3 linked regions of the Drosophila melanogaster genome follow. The gene in region 2 interacts genetically with the main gene of each other region. Each region holds a gene or a part of one and is shown on either strand. Other genes may lie near its edges. The genes, in order: Atg8a, Atg4a and Dcp-1.

The links.
Region 1: of Atg4a (region 2) and Atg8a, changing one suppresses a phenotype caused by changing the other (phenotypic suppression), as found in Drosophila melanogaster (one study listed by BioGRID).
Region 3: of Atg4a (region 2) and Dcp-1, changing one suppresses a phenotype caused by changing the other (phenotypic suppression), as found in Drosophila melanogaster (one study listed by BioGRID).

Annotation. Positions count from the first base shown.
Region 1 is NC_004354.4:10,764,244-10,770,174, reverse strand, and holds Atg8a (Autophagy-related 8a), read left to right. Parts: upstream 1-1,836; 5' UTR 1,837-2,104; coding exon 2,105-2,194; intron 2,195-2,868; exon of another isoform or gene 2,869-3,007; coding exon of another isoform or gene 3,008-3,022; intron 3,023-3,518; exon of another isoform or gene 3,519-3,797; coding exon of another isoform or gene 3,798-3,845; intron 3,846-4,372; coding exon 4,373-4,570; intron 4,571-4,639; coding exon 4,640-4,717; 3' UTR 4,718-5,297; downstream 5,298-5,931. Other genes in the region: BTBD9 (BTB (POZ) domain containing 9), read right to left, coding at 1-120, 189-827, 882-1,454.
Region 2 is NT_033779.5:1,079,315-1,083,945, reverse strand, and holds Atg4a (Autophagy-related 4a), read right to left. Parts: upstream 3,036-4,631; 5' UTR 2,703-3,035; coding exon 2,519-2,702; intron 2,369-2,518; coding exon 2,026-2,368; intron 1,970-2,025; coding exon 1,890-1,969; intron 1,827-1,889; coding exon 1,281-1,826; intron 1,158-1,280; coding exon 1,075-1,157; 3' UTR 568-1,074; downstream 1-567. Other genes in the region: ast (asteroid), read right to left, coding at 3,236-4,631.
Region 3 is NT_033778.4:23,549,410-23,554,131, reverse strand, and holds Dcp-1 (death caspase-1), read right to left. Parts: upstream 2,820-4,722; 5' UTR 2,410-2,819; coding exon 2,258-2,409; intron 1,832-2,257; coding exon 1,269-1,831; intron 1,209-1,268; coding exon 952-1,208; 3' UTR 585-951; downstream 1-584. Other genes in the region: pita, read left to right, coding at 3,096-4,184, 4,241-4,722. UniProt on the Drosophila melanogaster protein: Involved in the activation cascade of caspases responsible for apoptosis execution. Proteolytically cleaves poly(ADP-ribose) polymerase (PARP). Loss of zygotic DCP-1 function causes larval lethality and melanotic tumors.

The sequences.
Region 1 (5,931 bases), on a different chromosome or scaffold from region 2:
GTCCGTCACAATGGCGCTCATCTCTACGGTGGCCACGTTCGTCTTGGGCGCCACAAAATGGTTAACTAAACGCGGCACCTTGGCCGTGTGCATGGCTTCCAGACCCACAACATGGAATACCTATATATTAATGGAAAGGGAAAAAGTTAAAGAATGGGGAAAGTTTGAAGAGATCACTGCTGACTTACCCGGTTTACAGTGTTCTGGGTGCCCACCAGTCGAATGAATCTGACGGGTCGTGCTTCGAAGTATAAGTATTGCCAGGAGCGGCAGTGGTAGTCGCTGTAGTCGACCACGCGATCCCAATGCTGCTGGTCGCCGGACACCTCAACGTAGTAGGAGTACGCCCGGCTGTCTCTGTCCCAGAGCAGCATGCGAATGTGATTGATCATGCAGAACGTGCCCAATTCGACCACAATGCCCGCATCTTTGCTGTCCGTAATGCAGTGGCGCGTATACCCGTTCTCCATGTCATAGGTGGTCACATCTCCATCCAGCAGCGCGTCGCGACACTCTCCCTGGATGCAGCGCGACAAAAACGTCTCCGCGGCCACGTTTTCCTCCGGCCAGAGCGCCGCCCTGTAGGGCAGCGCCTTTGAAGTGCTGCGCTCGTCGATGGCGTCGAGAATCTTGTCGGGATCCAGGATGCCCGAGGGACGCACCACCTGCAGCAGATGCTCGAGGTTCATCAGTGGCAGGCGGACATAACTAACCACGGACTTGAAGTCCACGTTGCTATTGAAGCGGCTCCACTTCCACACGGCCAAAAAGATCTGCACCTCGGGGGCGAAGAAGCAGTCACGCCGTAGTACCTCCTCCAGCGATTCCTGTAAGCATTACATACTCTTAGTGCCAACTTTACCAATTGGTTGTGAACTTACCTTGGATAGCGTATTGAAGCTGTTGTGCAGCAGCAGGTCGCCGGCATTGCGATCCATGAACATTAGGCAAACCTCGGTGAGTTCCTCTAGATTGTATAGACGCGCCGCATCAAGAATCATGCAGACATTGTCCAAGGCCAGATACTGGCGTAAATAATTCGATATGGCCATCTCCAGATCCTGGAAACCATACTGATTGGCCATGCCCAGCACATCGATGGTGGAATCCTCGTCCAATGTGGACAGCAGCAGTGTGCCCGAGTAAATGTAGCGCAGCAGCACCTTGAACGCTTCCAGCGGCACCTCAAGCGGTATTTGGCGCTGTGTGGTCTCCGCCATGCCGCCGTACAGCAGCGCCCGGAAGTATTCGCTGCGTGCCGCGAGTATGACGCGGTGGGCGGGTATGCGCTCCTCCTCGACGATGAACTCCACGTCCGCGTACTGTTCGTTCATGCAGAGGCGCGCCATGTCCGCTGAGAAGCGATCGCCCAGATCGACCACGTCGGTGTAGTCCTGCTCCATGGCGCCCTTCTTGCCGCCGCCGGACATCTTATGGTGTCCCTGGCTGCTCATCCTTCTCTTTTTTGTTTTTCTTCCGTGCGATGTGTATTTATGTGTGTAAGCAGCCAGAGGGAACAGTTGACAATTAACGTTTCGTCTCGCCTGCTGCGTCAATCCATCGATGACAGTTAGTGATATCGATAATATCGATGGCACAATAGGGATTCTTCTATTGCGGCGAAAAACTGTTATATGTGCAGTGTGACCGTAGGTGTGTATACCATTTAACGCGTACAACAACCATATCGACAGCCGTCTGCTAGCGAGCACATGAACCACATGGTTGCATCCGATAACATTTAGCGAATACATGAACCAAATGGTGTCTGTCTAATATGCCACCACTATTAGCGCGTTTCGGGTTGGTGTCTCTGCGCGCTCACTGGTCACACACGGTCAGTCTAGCCACAGCAGTTAGCGAGTGCAGTCACCACAGTGCGAGTGCTTATCGATAAAACCAGCAAGTCATCGATTTTTAGACCGAAGCGCTCTGTCAACTGCTGCGCACGGTCACTCTACACAAGTATTTCGTACCGTTTGTACGAGAAAACAGAGAAGAGAAAAACACAAGCTCAGCAACGCATCGATATTCGGCACAGTCCCAAAAGCAAACGAAGTGATAGAAGCTGCGTTTCTTAGCCAATTACCTCTTCATTGCAATCATGAAGTTCCAATACAAGGAGGAGCACGCCTTCGAGAAGCGTCGCGCCGAGGGCGACAAGATCCGTCGCAAATATCCAGACCGTGTGCCCGTAAGTACTCAAAAATATATATATAAATGCATATAGGTATAAAGAGACGTGTGTGTGTGTGTATATATGCGTGCGAGTGTGTGTGTATGTGCGAGCTTCTGTGTATGCGTTTGTTTTGCGTCGTTTTTTTTCTCGCTCTTTTTTTTTGTGTTTGCACCGAAGAAAATCAATACTGCGCATATTGGGTATTTCGATTGTTATTACAATATTATTGCACTGGCACATCAGGTGGCTGGGGAAATTTGTGCGATGGGTATTGCATAAAGTGCATTTTGCATTACTGGTGGGGGGAACAGGCGACAAGCTCTCAAAAGAAATTCAAACGAAAATTCTGCCCCCTGCATACACACATACGCACGCATACACGCGCACACAGGCACACAGATGTCGACAGGAAAAAACAAAAGCAAAAAAAGGGAGAGAACAAAGCAGCCGTTTCACTTGCTCAGCTGTTGTGATGTTGTTGTTTTCAGTGCTAGATTTCATCTGTGCCACCTCTTCCTCTCCTCTATCCCACCCTCTGGCTACACAGCAAGAAAATCGCATATATCTATCTGTCATCATAATTTAGTTACAAGCAAAGTTTTGACCACCCCGTTTTTTTTCTGTGTGTGCACCAACCAGTTGTTTTCGATTTTAATTTCGTTTGTTTGTTGGCAAAACGAGCGAGTACTGCGCATAAAAAAAGTCACTAATACTCACTAATACACACTTATACTAGCGCTGCTTGTTTTGTTTTTCGCAAATACACAAAGTGCGACTGGAATTAGTCATAGATGCGCTGCTGAACACAAAACAAAAATAATAAAAAAAATGGAAAACAGAAAGGTTGAAAAAAACAAAAACATCTTCTGCTTCTTCTTTGTTGTTTTTCTGCTATGTATGTATGCATTTCACCACGTTATCAGCGAAAACTCCTTTCACAAAAACCAAAACAAAACCAAACGAAACGAAACGACAAACTGCTGAAGGTGCCCCAATCGCAGCGAAAAGTGCAGTTCTTGTTTTCGATTTTGATTCGGACTGCATATGCATATGTATATATGTACAAATATGTACATATGTGCGCTATATATGCACCCCCGAAATATTATTGCCAGTGTTATTTTAGTGTTTTTTTTTTTTGGCAAGTGCAGCAGTGCCAAATCACAAATCACATAACAGCTGAGCGAGGGGCAAGGCCAGCTGGTCGCTCGGACCACCAGCATATCCATATATATCCGAATTCTATAGAATATACTTAGTACATACATACGTACTAGCACATCTCATACTTGTGCCTTGAGTTCGGCCAATGACGATAACGAATTTCGATAGAACACTAGTGTATAGAGGGGTGGCATTCGCGACAAGCAGTTTTTGCCCATTTCGTATTCACTATGTTGGCACCCGCTTCCTGTTCCAAAAAAAAAAAATTGGACAAACCAGTTTGCCAATAATTTGGCTAAGGCTAACTAATGAGCCCCTGGCTAGAACGGATCGTCTAGTCTAGGCCAGCTAGCAATTATTCCAGAGCCAAGGAAATGCAGTAGATTCGTTACAAAGCTCACTTCAATGACCAACTTGGTCGTCTTGGTGATCAATTTGGCTAAAATGCTGTAAAATGTGTATGTGTTTTTGCATAATGAACAAAAAAAAACAGATGATACAGGTGAACTTGAATGTAAACAGGTGCTAGAAATCTTAATTATATTACAAAACATATACCCCTTGAAAAATGCATTGAATTTGGCTTAAAAATAATATGTGAACAAAAACACACGTGTGTGTAATTACACATTCCAACTTACGAAATTCCAAAATGCATTACGAAATTACTGACTGAAATTACGAAATTACTCATTTTCCTGTCTAAATATAATATGAGTCAGGCCAATAACAATCAGGTATAGTTGTTCGTAAACAAATTAGTTTTCAATTAATATTAAGGTATTTTGTACACTAGATAGCAAGCATCAGAATTCATAAGACTATAGTTTATGTTTTCGGCATTATCATATTCCAAGGTAGCACGTATTCGAGCACACTTGCTTCCAGCAATGCAAATGCCATTTGTAGCCAAATATGTGAGCCTTATTGGGCACGTAATCAGGTGCGAAATGTGCGCACATTAACATGCACAAGTAGCCCGCAACAACAACTCACCTCCTGTATTTCTTCTTCTATTTAAACCCAAAGGTCATCGTCGAGAAGGCTCCCAAGGCGCGCATCGGTGATTTGGACAAGAAGAAGTACCTGGTGCCTTCCGACCTGACCGTCGGTCAGTTCTACTTCCTCATTCGCAAGCGCATCCACCTGCGTCCCGAGGATGCCCTCTTCTTCTTTGTGAACAACGTCATTCCACCAACATCGGCTACCATGGGCTCCCTGTACCAGGTAATTACCACAATGCCCATTATTATTAGCCTTGCAATCGAATCACATACGTTCGATGTATTTTTATAGGAACATCACGAGGAGGACTATTTCCTGTACATTGCCTACTCCGATGAGAATGTTTACGGCATGGCCAAAATTAACTAACTTTGCTCCGGTCGGGATGCATCGGAATGAAGCCCCCCCCCTATACAGAAATCTATATATAAATAAAATATATTTTGTGTTTAGCATGCAAGCTTACAATATGGACGGCGAGTTAGCTAAACGAATTGAGGAAAACCGCAGGAAATGCCACATGAAAAGAACTTGAAATTGATCTGATACGCAGGGCAACAAAAAAAATCCACAAAAACCGAAAACTACAAAAACAATTGTTATGTGAACATTATTTTATATATATACATTTTCCAAACGCGTTAGTATTTCAATTAAACTCTGCTTTGTGTCCTACCCATTAACGAAACAACCAACCAACCAACTTTCCCCACAAAAAACAGATCTATTCACACCCTTTCTGGGCCATTTAATTTCCATTGCTGTAATTGATCCGTGCGAATGCTTTGTACTTTACTTTGTTACTTTGCTAATATTTCAATGAATTCACTATTTTTTTTTTTATTCACGATGCAACAAAATTCTGTGCATATTTAGTGTGTATGGTTACGAATAGGACTCTCTCGGTTAAGTGTACGGTAATTAATCTATTATTAAATAAACAAAAACCACAAAAATACACATGCAAAGGGTGTTTGTTTATTTGGATTGTTCTTCGTTTTCAGTTTGCAATCACGTATATCACGCTTAGATGATTCAGCGATAAGTGACAGGAAGAAGTTATTTTATACTGCTTTTTCTTTTGTTCACCGAACAATGAGTCCTTATCTTTTAAAAATGAAATGAGCTTTAGCAATGAGTGGGTGTTTTTTTTTATTCTTTGCTATTAGTAACAAAAGCATTTATTTATTTTAAATTGAAGGCGTAAAAGGTAGTACTTATGATACCATTCGCAACGCAAAAGTTTAAGTGTGCAAATTAAATTGAAAAGAAATCACTTTGTTTATTGTTTGCTTATCTTATCGCAGCAAAGGCACTTTGCTAGCCATTCAAAATTGCCGCCCACAAACGTTTTTATGGGCAGCACTGTCATCAAAACACAGCTGGTCACACCATCAAGTGCTGCAAAGCAATATCTCAAGTCAGCCATAAGGAGAGCATGTGCTAAAAAGGGACAGCTCCACACAATAAGTACGATTAAATTGCGATATATTTTTGGTAGTTAGTATTTTTGACGCATTTGGCGGACGACTGAGCACGTTTGAATTTCGTGGATTTTTTAGCCAATTTCACCATCTGGCAAC
Region 2 (4,631 bases):
AAAGGCAAACTGGGTGTGTCGCTTTTGAAAGGAATCTAAGGTTCAAGGAACTCAAATAGTAGCTCAAAAACCTTTCCTACTAGAGGCTAGTCCGTTTCGATCAGCTTTAAATATCCAGTGCTTGATTTTGAACCAACAAATTGAGATTAGAAAATTTTATAGTGAATACAACATAGAATTTAACCAGAATATCGAGAATTAGGATGGATGAATTGCAAAAGTTAAATGCATTCGAAGCGCAAGAAACATAAGTCGCTTGAATATGAATAGAAAGGATTATCTTCCGATAGTAGGAGACAGTTGGATACTCTGATCTGCAAATCCCAGTTTGCCTTTCTGCGGGAATCAGCCCGGAAGGCCAAAGGTCAAGCCCAATTAGTGTCAATTCGCCAGCTGCGTAGCCGCGTGTTTGTTGTTAACGTAGATTCCTGCATCCTCATCCTGGTTACTCATTCGAGAAAGTTCCTTGGTTCGTGTAGCTTGAGTTTGTCCAGCCGTTGAGTCCAGAGGCGGATGGCAAAGTTGATATATACATACATACATATATATATACATATATAGATATATACATATAGTCCAAGTATTATGTATTTAGTTGTTGGTCCATTTTTGAGCATATACAGACGAATATACGAAAGGAAAATGAATATTACGATTACAAACATATAAATACACACCGGGCTAAGGCGATTGCCTCGATCTCATCGAGTCTTCAATGTACAACGTTGCATAAAAATGTTTAATTGATCATCAAAAAGCGGTATGTGTCCGTAAGTGTCGCTCTGTGTGTGTGTGTTTTGCCAAATTGTCTCCCGTGGAGTCAATCGCGTACAATAAAGCAGCATTATGAATCGCTAAGAACCGCATTCGTACAAATCGTAAACATACTAAAATCTAAATCTCAACCACTCGTCTAATTATGCACTTTAGCCTTAGTTTATTGCATTCGCAGCATCCGCAGGGGCTCGACCTCCCGGCCCACTCTCTTTCTCCTCATTGGGTGCTCCACTTTCGCCTGGCTGGGCTTCATCTGCTCTGGTGCGGCGCAGGCGCAGGCGCTCCGCCGGCGACCTCTCAAATGACGGCTCTCTCACTGGGCTTTTTGCCGCTGCCAATGGCGCCGCTACAGCCGGCGTCGCTGTCCCTGCCGCTCTCTTCTGGAAAATGGAGTGAATTTATTGAGTGAAATCGGAGTGAAATTTCGGACTGTTGATTCAGATTACAAGCTGTGAAGTTATAAATAATGGTCTTAATGGTCAGCTTCAACAGAACCAACTTACCAACTATGGCAAAAGAGTCCGAATCCGAGGTGCCCGCAGGCCAATCGATGTCCGGCATGGTGGGCCAGTCGATGTCCTCCGTGGTGTCCCAATCGACCGCGCGGGTTTGACTGATCTCGAAGAGCGCAGGCGAGCAGAGGCTGAGCACCTCCTCCTTCAACTTGGTTAACAGGGACTCGAAACTATCACTGGTCTTGCAGAGGAAACAAACCGCCAGCGAGGGGTCCATGGCGGAGAAGTTCAGGCGAGCAGCATGCTTTTGATGGTAGGTCTCGTCGTAGTCCTGTTCTGCCGCAGCAGTTTTCTGTGCCACGGCGCCCGTTCTCTGCGTGGTATGAGGATCTAGGTAGAGAACCTCATCGTCCACATAGCCCAGGAAGTACAGAGCCTGGTTTGGTCGACCTCCGATCATGCCACAACTGCTGTCTAGTTCAAGGCAGCGCTTTAAGGCAGGCACGTAAAGCGGGTTAATGTCTGTGATGCCCAGGCGCAGGGGGATTATGAGCAGCAGTGGCTTCCACGAGCCTCCTTCTCGGCACGACGCATCTACAAAGTGGACAATGTTGTTAGGCAAATAGTCGGGCTATTTAGGCCATTTTCCACACTTACATACGTCATCCAATACCACTGTGCTATCCATGGCCACGTGAATCGCCAGGGAGCTCCAGTCATCGAAGCGCACTAGTTTTCTGAAATCAGCAATTGATTATACCACTTATCCACCATGTTAGGCCAATGGTCTTACTTGAGAATCTGGGCTACTGTATTCGGTCCCAGCCACTCGCCGACCGCTTTGTTCTGGGACTCTCCCATCTGGGCAATCTGGTGTATGGAGTAGAAGCTATTCCTTACGTCTTCAAAACGGTTCACGATCTTGAGGTAGGTGGCATCACGGCAGTCCGGCGTCCAGAACCAGTCGCGTCCCAAATGTAAGTCGATCAGGGCCTGGGCGAGAACCATCTGACCACAGCGCAGCATGCAGCCCCAGCCCTTGTCCGTGGTGAGCTGGACTTCTCCCAACGGCGAAAATCCATGGCGATATGTGCACCACAGGCGCGACTGAATGTCCCGTCGGATGAGCTCTAGCTCTGAAAAGGGATAGGGTGTTGATTATGGATTTCAGTTTGGTATCCATCGATGATAATCGAAAAAAGGTTTGGGAAACCCCTTATGACTCATGCTGACCAATATGCTAGATTTGTACCCATATGACAGCATTAAATAAGGTCTCATCTTACCCTGTATGGCGTTGTACTTCTTTCCCAGGACCCAGACGTCGGTGTTTCTTCGGGGAATGTCCTCCGGCTCTCCGCTGCCCACCGCCTGGCCAACTGCACTAGCGAGGACGCTGTCTGGGCCCAAGTACGCCTCGAAGACGCTCTCCATGATCCGCGCTAGCTGGTCGCTGAGTCCAACCAGCATCTACTGCCCGGTGCGCTGGCAGAAGGAGAAGGGGGTGGACACCAGGGCCTCCGCTGCTCGTCTATACGATAATTGCCTTCGAATGACGTTCTGTTTTTCGGGTGGGCCTTTGTTTTGGCCTGTGTTTTCGCTGGCAGCAACGGCAATGCTCCTGCTTCTGGCCCGAGGTCACAGGGGTTTCATTTGTTGTTGGCAGTGACGGGCGCTGATTACAAACTATGCGATAACCAGCATTTGATCAGTCTGCGGCTGGTTTAGTTTGATTTATTTTTCTTTTTTGTTGATTACAACGCAGTGACGTAGCTGTTAGTATGACCGCAACTGATAAGGTATTTTACTTTGCCAAAATACCGAACCTTGCACTTAACATGACCATAACATAGGAAATAACAGTATTTTTCCAAACTGTTAATGAAATGCATTCAAAAATGAAGTTTTTTAAAAAATATTTAATTTTTTTCTTATTTTACGCAAAGTATAGATTTGTAACAATGTAAAAACTTCAAAATTGCACGTGCGGGACTTCAAACTAGCTACGCTACCTTGAGTGCGCAGAATTTGTTGTTCAGATCGAAGAAGTCGTTTTCTGGATCGGCATCCTCGACCATTTCCGCATTGGGATCCGCGATGGCCTCCCTTAGCTCCACTTTCCTAGCCGCCTGACGCTGCTTCTTCAATCGCTTCTTCTGCAGGGCCTTTGCCGCCGTCGGATCCACCTCCAATCGCTTCCAAGTTGGTATAAACTCCGCGCACCAGTCGTACAAGTAGCAATAGAAATCGAACATCAACTTGGAGTCGGGCAGCAGGAAGTTCTCAACATGGTAGCGGACATCGGCACGATTCCTCAGTACATCATACATGTTGTAGAGAAAGGCGCCGCAATAAAGCTGGTTCATCCTCGGACTCAAAAGTGGAAAATCCAAAAGAGAATTTAGCCCATTGAGTTGGTAAACCACAGCCTGAAATTCAGCAAATGCGTGGATAACCGTGGTGGAGTACAAGTCAAACTTCTTTTTGAAGATCTCCTGCATATGGAAGTGCGGCAGTAGGCGTTCCTGAGTTAAATAGCAGTCCGATTTGGGTACATGAGCCATCCGATCTGGAACAGAAAGCTCTAGCAGAGCAGGTTTGATGCCGCGCTTAATTCCCTCGGCAGCTTCCTTATCCCTCACTGCTCGCTCTGCTTTCAATGTCTTGCCAAATCTTTTAAGGAAGGTTTTCACCTCTCGTTCAGCAGGGATTGTAACATCTATGGTTCGTAGGACAACCAAACTAAGGATCAGCGAGTGAAGATGCAGCAAATCACAGTGCTCCGAGCGATGTAACCAGTAGATAATGGCCAGAAAGTACAGCCTCAGGTCCTCCGGCAACTGGTCGAGCTTGCTGAACAACTTCTCCGTATCCGCATTGGGAGCATTGTCTTCGAATACAGCTCTTAAATGCCTAGCATCCGGCGAAAGAGGATCAAACGGATAGGCAGGCTTCTTTTCAATGGGCATCTTGAAATACCTCACGTTCGTCACTCGCAGAGCTCTGGTGAGGTAGGTGAGATAGGGGACTGTCGAACCCTCTATATCCATATCCACTTCTAATGGTAGCTCAATTTTCTCACACTCTACGTGATGGAGAAGAGCGAACACGTAGTTCAGGATGGGTAAGGCCACTTCATTGGAGTCGTGGAAGGGAAAGTGCTCGATCTGTGGGTTGTTGATGTACTTGCGCAGGTGCATAAGGTCCACGAAGCTGCGGGGCAGGTGCGCGGGATATAGTTTGTCCAGAAACCATTGTGGGAAGAGTAGCGTTTTGTCTTCCACTTCCAGCTCGAGGCCTTCATCCGCCTCCTCTTCTTCTTCATCACCCGAATCAACGTCTTGATTTTCTTCCTGCTGCTCCTCATCTTGGTTATCAGCTTCCTCCTGATCCTCGCCT
Region 3 (4,722 bases), on a different chromosome or scaffold from region 2:
AAACTGCCCCGCTTCCCTTTCCCAGCCGAATGTCCTTGAAAAGTGCGACCAGGTTACAGCCCAATTAGTTGGCTAATCATTGGGCTTTCCCTTTTTCCTCTTGTGCAAAGAAAAATGAAAATTTCTGCGATTTGGGGCAACTGTACTGCGCCACACGCACACTAGTGCGTCAACAGCTGATCGCCCTGACAGCTGTCAGTTGTTTTTGGCGCTAAATTCAAATCGAGATCATATTTAAATGCATTAATAGTTCCTTCGATACTTATATTTACGCAAAAATCATCATTTGGTTAATTTTATTAATTTCCTAAATTATAAAATTAGGAAATAAATATAAAATTTAGGAAATTAATAAAATTAGAGTGAGAAAAATCTTAATTAATCACTCTTAATAATGCTAATTTGAATTCCACTAAAGTTTCGTACAATTTCACTGATTCAGCCAACCAAGTCTTCATTGTTATCTTTTATTTCCCATATCAACGTACTCAATCTGGCCCAGACAGCTCCTGTCTTCAAACAAAGTTGCTTAGATCGAAATTACCCATCTACGTTCAATTGGGGAGATACCTTGCTATGTTTTTAATTCATTTTTATTCATATCAAATATAAATGTTTGCGTGTACATAAAAGTATGTATGTATGTATAAATCTTCATTGTATTATCTTATCTCAAATTTGTGGGTTTTCTATTGGCAAGGTCTCGCTTATGCATACGGAAGTCATCTAGTGGGTAAATGGGTAACGAATTTCGTCAATGATAAGGCCGAAATGGGCATGGGAAAGGCAGGGGAATGAATGAAAGGGAGTCGGGTGCTTCAATATCCATCGGGATAATCGCACGCGTCAGCTAAAACTAAACTTGAAGTGAATTGGAATCCAACGTGAATGATTGCGGGCGATGGTTGTACAACCTCTGTTGAAAGTTCTTCTTCGAAGGGAGATCTCTTCCTAGCCAGCCTTATTGCCGTTCGGCTTGTCGCCGAAGCGCAGTATGCGCGTCAGCATGGAGGTGAGGCACGGTATTTGCTTCTGGCGATCCATCATCGGTGTGGCGGGCACGTTCGACTCAAAGTCTAGGGCTACGCGCTGGTTAACGAATGTAAGCAGGGTGAGCAGGTCGTACTTTTTGCCATTGGCGTTCAGCTCGCGGATCAGCGATTGCATGTACCAGGAGCCATTGTTGATGTTGCGCCAGGAGAAGTAGCCTAACAGGACGAGATTGCTAGTGAAATTCACTAAAATAGTTACCTAATCATATTCCTTACCCGGAATGGTCGAGTAGGAGAAGAGAAAGTCGGCGTGTATGGGTATCTTGTAGCTCGTCGAGGACTCCCCGTCCGTCTCGGTAACGCCCTTCTCCAGAGTGATGCCTCCGTCCAAGCGATCGCCCTGGCAGGCTTGGATGAAGAACAGCTTCGGCTTGCCCGCCAGCGAGGGGCAGAAGGTGGCAGTGAAGTAGTGCCAGATGTTGTCCAGCTTGTACTGCGTATCCTTGGCGTACAGGTAGCCGTGCTCCCCGTGCGAGAGTATGGCCACCGCAAGGCAGTCGTTGTCCGTGTGGTCCAACTCGGCGGCCTTCCCCACGTGCTTCAGGATGTCCCTCAACTTGCAGTCCTTGTGCACGGACACCGCGAATCCCAGGTTTTCAAAGGCCTTTTTCAGCTCTTGGGCATCGACATTTGTTCCGGTGCGGCTCTTCAGCGAGGGTATGTCGAAGAATTCGTGGTTGAAGATCAGCGCAACTCCGCGGTGCTTGTGACTCATGTTGTATTCGCTTGCATATCGTTCCACGGGCATTCGAGCCACAAACTTGTTGGCCGGCAAGGGGCTGGGGAAAAAGAAATCAGAATTATAATAGCCATTTGGGAAGCAGCATGATAAGATAAGGTAATCGGCGAAATAATCGATGATTGGGTATTTATTTATGTAATTATTTTCAAATATATTTGTGAATAAGACTAAATAGAACAATAGAATTAAAGTCAAGTGCTTTCAAACTTTGTGACTTCAGCCATTTTAACAACATTATAAAGACAGATTGACACATTGATTTTAAATGTTGGCAATAGACAGTATAAATAATATAAAAATAATAGATTGTGGAATGAAAATGGAATAAATAAAAAAAAAAGAGCTTTATATGCTGCATTTGAAACTAGGATATAGCAGTTATGCCAGTACTTGCATTGATAACAAAACACAGAAACATAAAGAGAGAGATGGGAGAGGGAGAGAGCGAGGCACATGGACTCACCTCGCTGCAGTTGCACCACCAACAACAAGAGACTCCGGCGTACAGCCCTTGGCATCGGTATTATCAGCCATTATAAAGCTGCCCCGATTTTCCGATCCATTTGGGCTGCGAATGCCTACTCCGTAGTTTCTGGTTACGCACTCGTCGGTCATCTTGCGCCCCTTTTCTTGCTTAAGTTCTTGTTTTGATTGTTTGCGTTTCTCCTTGTGTTTCCTCTTGCCTTTTGTTCGCTCCCTCCTGCTCCTCCCTCGCTCACGCGCTGCTCTTTCCTTCCTTTTCTCTCTCCGCAGTTGTTGCGCCCTTTTTGGTCTGATTCTTGTTTTATTCTGACACTGCTTCTGTTTTCTATTGCTCTGCGTTGGCCAAACTTTGCGCAGCGCAGCTGTTTTGCGCTTCTCAGCCAGCTTTTGTCGGCTTTCGATCGAGCGAATGTCCTTTTATGGCTCACAGTCGGACGTGTTTAATCAATCAATTAACGGAGGTTAAGCGTGCTCTGAGCGGCGAAAACAAACTGCGATTGCATGTAGTCGTGTGTATGCACTTGCCGCCAAGCGGCGATGGCCGCTCGTCGATAGCACTAATCATCGATTGGTGGCCATCGATTAATTTGTAGAGGGTGTTCTGGTCCTCGGCGCCTTTGTTTAAATTTAAACTCTAACATTATATTGTTCATTTTAAGGGAAAGAGACATTTATGGCGTTTAATTTATTATGTAGCGAAAAACATATAGGGGTGTTCCACGAATATTACCTTATTATTTGGCTTAAGCACGGACTTCCCCGAATAAATGTAGCTTCCTAGTCACTCACACATTTATCTAATCTAACATTAAAAACAGGTCTACGCCGGCGACGGAATGCCGGGGCACATCTGTCTGGAGTGCCGCCTCCTCTTCGAGCACTGCTACCGCTTCAAGCAGATGTGCAAGCGGGCGGAGACCCTCCTGCGCCAGTATCCGCTCACGGGTAACTGGCCATCGCCGCTGGAGAAGCCCCGTGCGCCCATGACGATGGTGGCTTCCAAGAAGTTGTTGGTCGTGCCAGCAAAGACAGCCGAGCCAAGCGAAACGCCCAAAAAGCTGCTGAACACAATGGCCAAATCCAGTAGTCAGGTGATCATCGAGGACGTCCAGGTGCTGGAGAGCGCCATGGTGACCCCCAGGACGGTAGCCGGTTCCTCTCCAGTGCCACGTCGTTCGCACGCCTATGAGCTGAAGGTGGATAACAACCAGGAGCTGTCCATGGACGATGTGCAGAGCATGCTGGAGGATATGGCCAGTGAGCTAGAGAAGGAGTTCCCCGATATCCCCCAGAAGGCATCACCCGTCAAGCCGAAGGTGCTGAACAAGTCCTCGATTAGGATCTTGAACAAGGGACCCGCCGCTCCGGTGGAACCGCGCCTGGCCACACCCAAAGTCAAGCGAGATGATAGTGGCAATGTGGCCATAGTGACAGAGGTTCTGGACTCGGATCTGCCATTGGACGATCAAGATGATCCGACCAAGAACGCCGAGAAGGTGGCCACCGATGTGTTCCCCTGTCCCGATTGCGAACGCTCCTTTCCGCTGCAGCAGCTGCTCGAGATCCATCGGCTGAATCACACTCGCTCGCGCAGCTTCCAGTGTCTCCTGTGCGAGAAGAGCTTCTTCTCCAAGTACGACCTGGCCAAGCACAACTTTGTGCACACCGGCGAGCGGCCATTCAAGTGCGCCATCTGCTCGAAAGCCTTCACACGGAAGGCATTGCTCCATCGCCACGAGCGCACCCACACGGACGTACCCAAGTTCATCTGCGTGTACTGCGAGAAGCCCTTCCTTTCGCGCCAGGAGATGGAGAAGCACGCCGAGCGACATCAGAAGAAGCGTCCGTTCCAATGCGGTGTCTGCACCAAGTCGTTTGCCTTCAAGCAGGGATTGGAGCGTCATGAGGTGGGTTGACAAGCATATTTGGGATTGCCCCGGCTAACGATTATGTCCACTTTCAGACAGTCCACTCCACCAATCTTCCCTTCCCCTGTCAGCATTGCGAGAGAAGCTTTTCCACCGCTTCCAAGCTGGCCCGCCACCTGGTTGCCCACGCCGGGAAGAGAGCCTATCCCTGCAAGTACTGCCACAAGTCCTACATGCTGTCGCATCATCTCTCGCGCCACCTGCGCACGCACACGCAGACTTCCGACGCCTCGTTCGTGTGCAGTGAGTGCAAGGTGTCGTACAGCAACTATAACGACCTACTGGATCATGCGCTCATTCATGCCACCGCCAGCCTGAAATGTCCCATGTGTCGCAAGCAGATCGAAGATATCGACAGTGTCGAGAGCCACATGGACCAGCACAAGCAGAGCGAGCGCCATGCCTGCGAGTTCTGTGACCACATCTTCTTGACGCAGAAATGCCTGCAGCGCCACATCGAGGACGATCATGTGGTGGAAATGGAGCCGTACCAGAACGAGTTCGAAGACGACGGCGA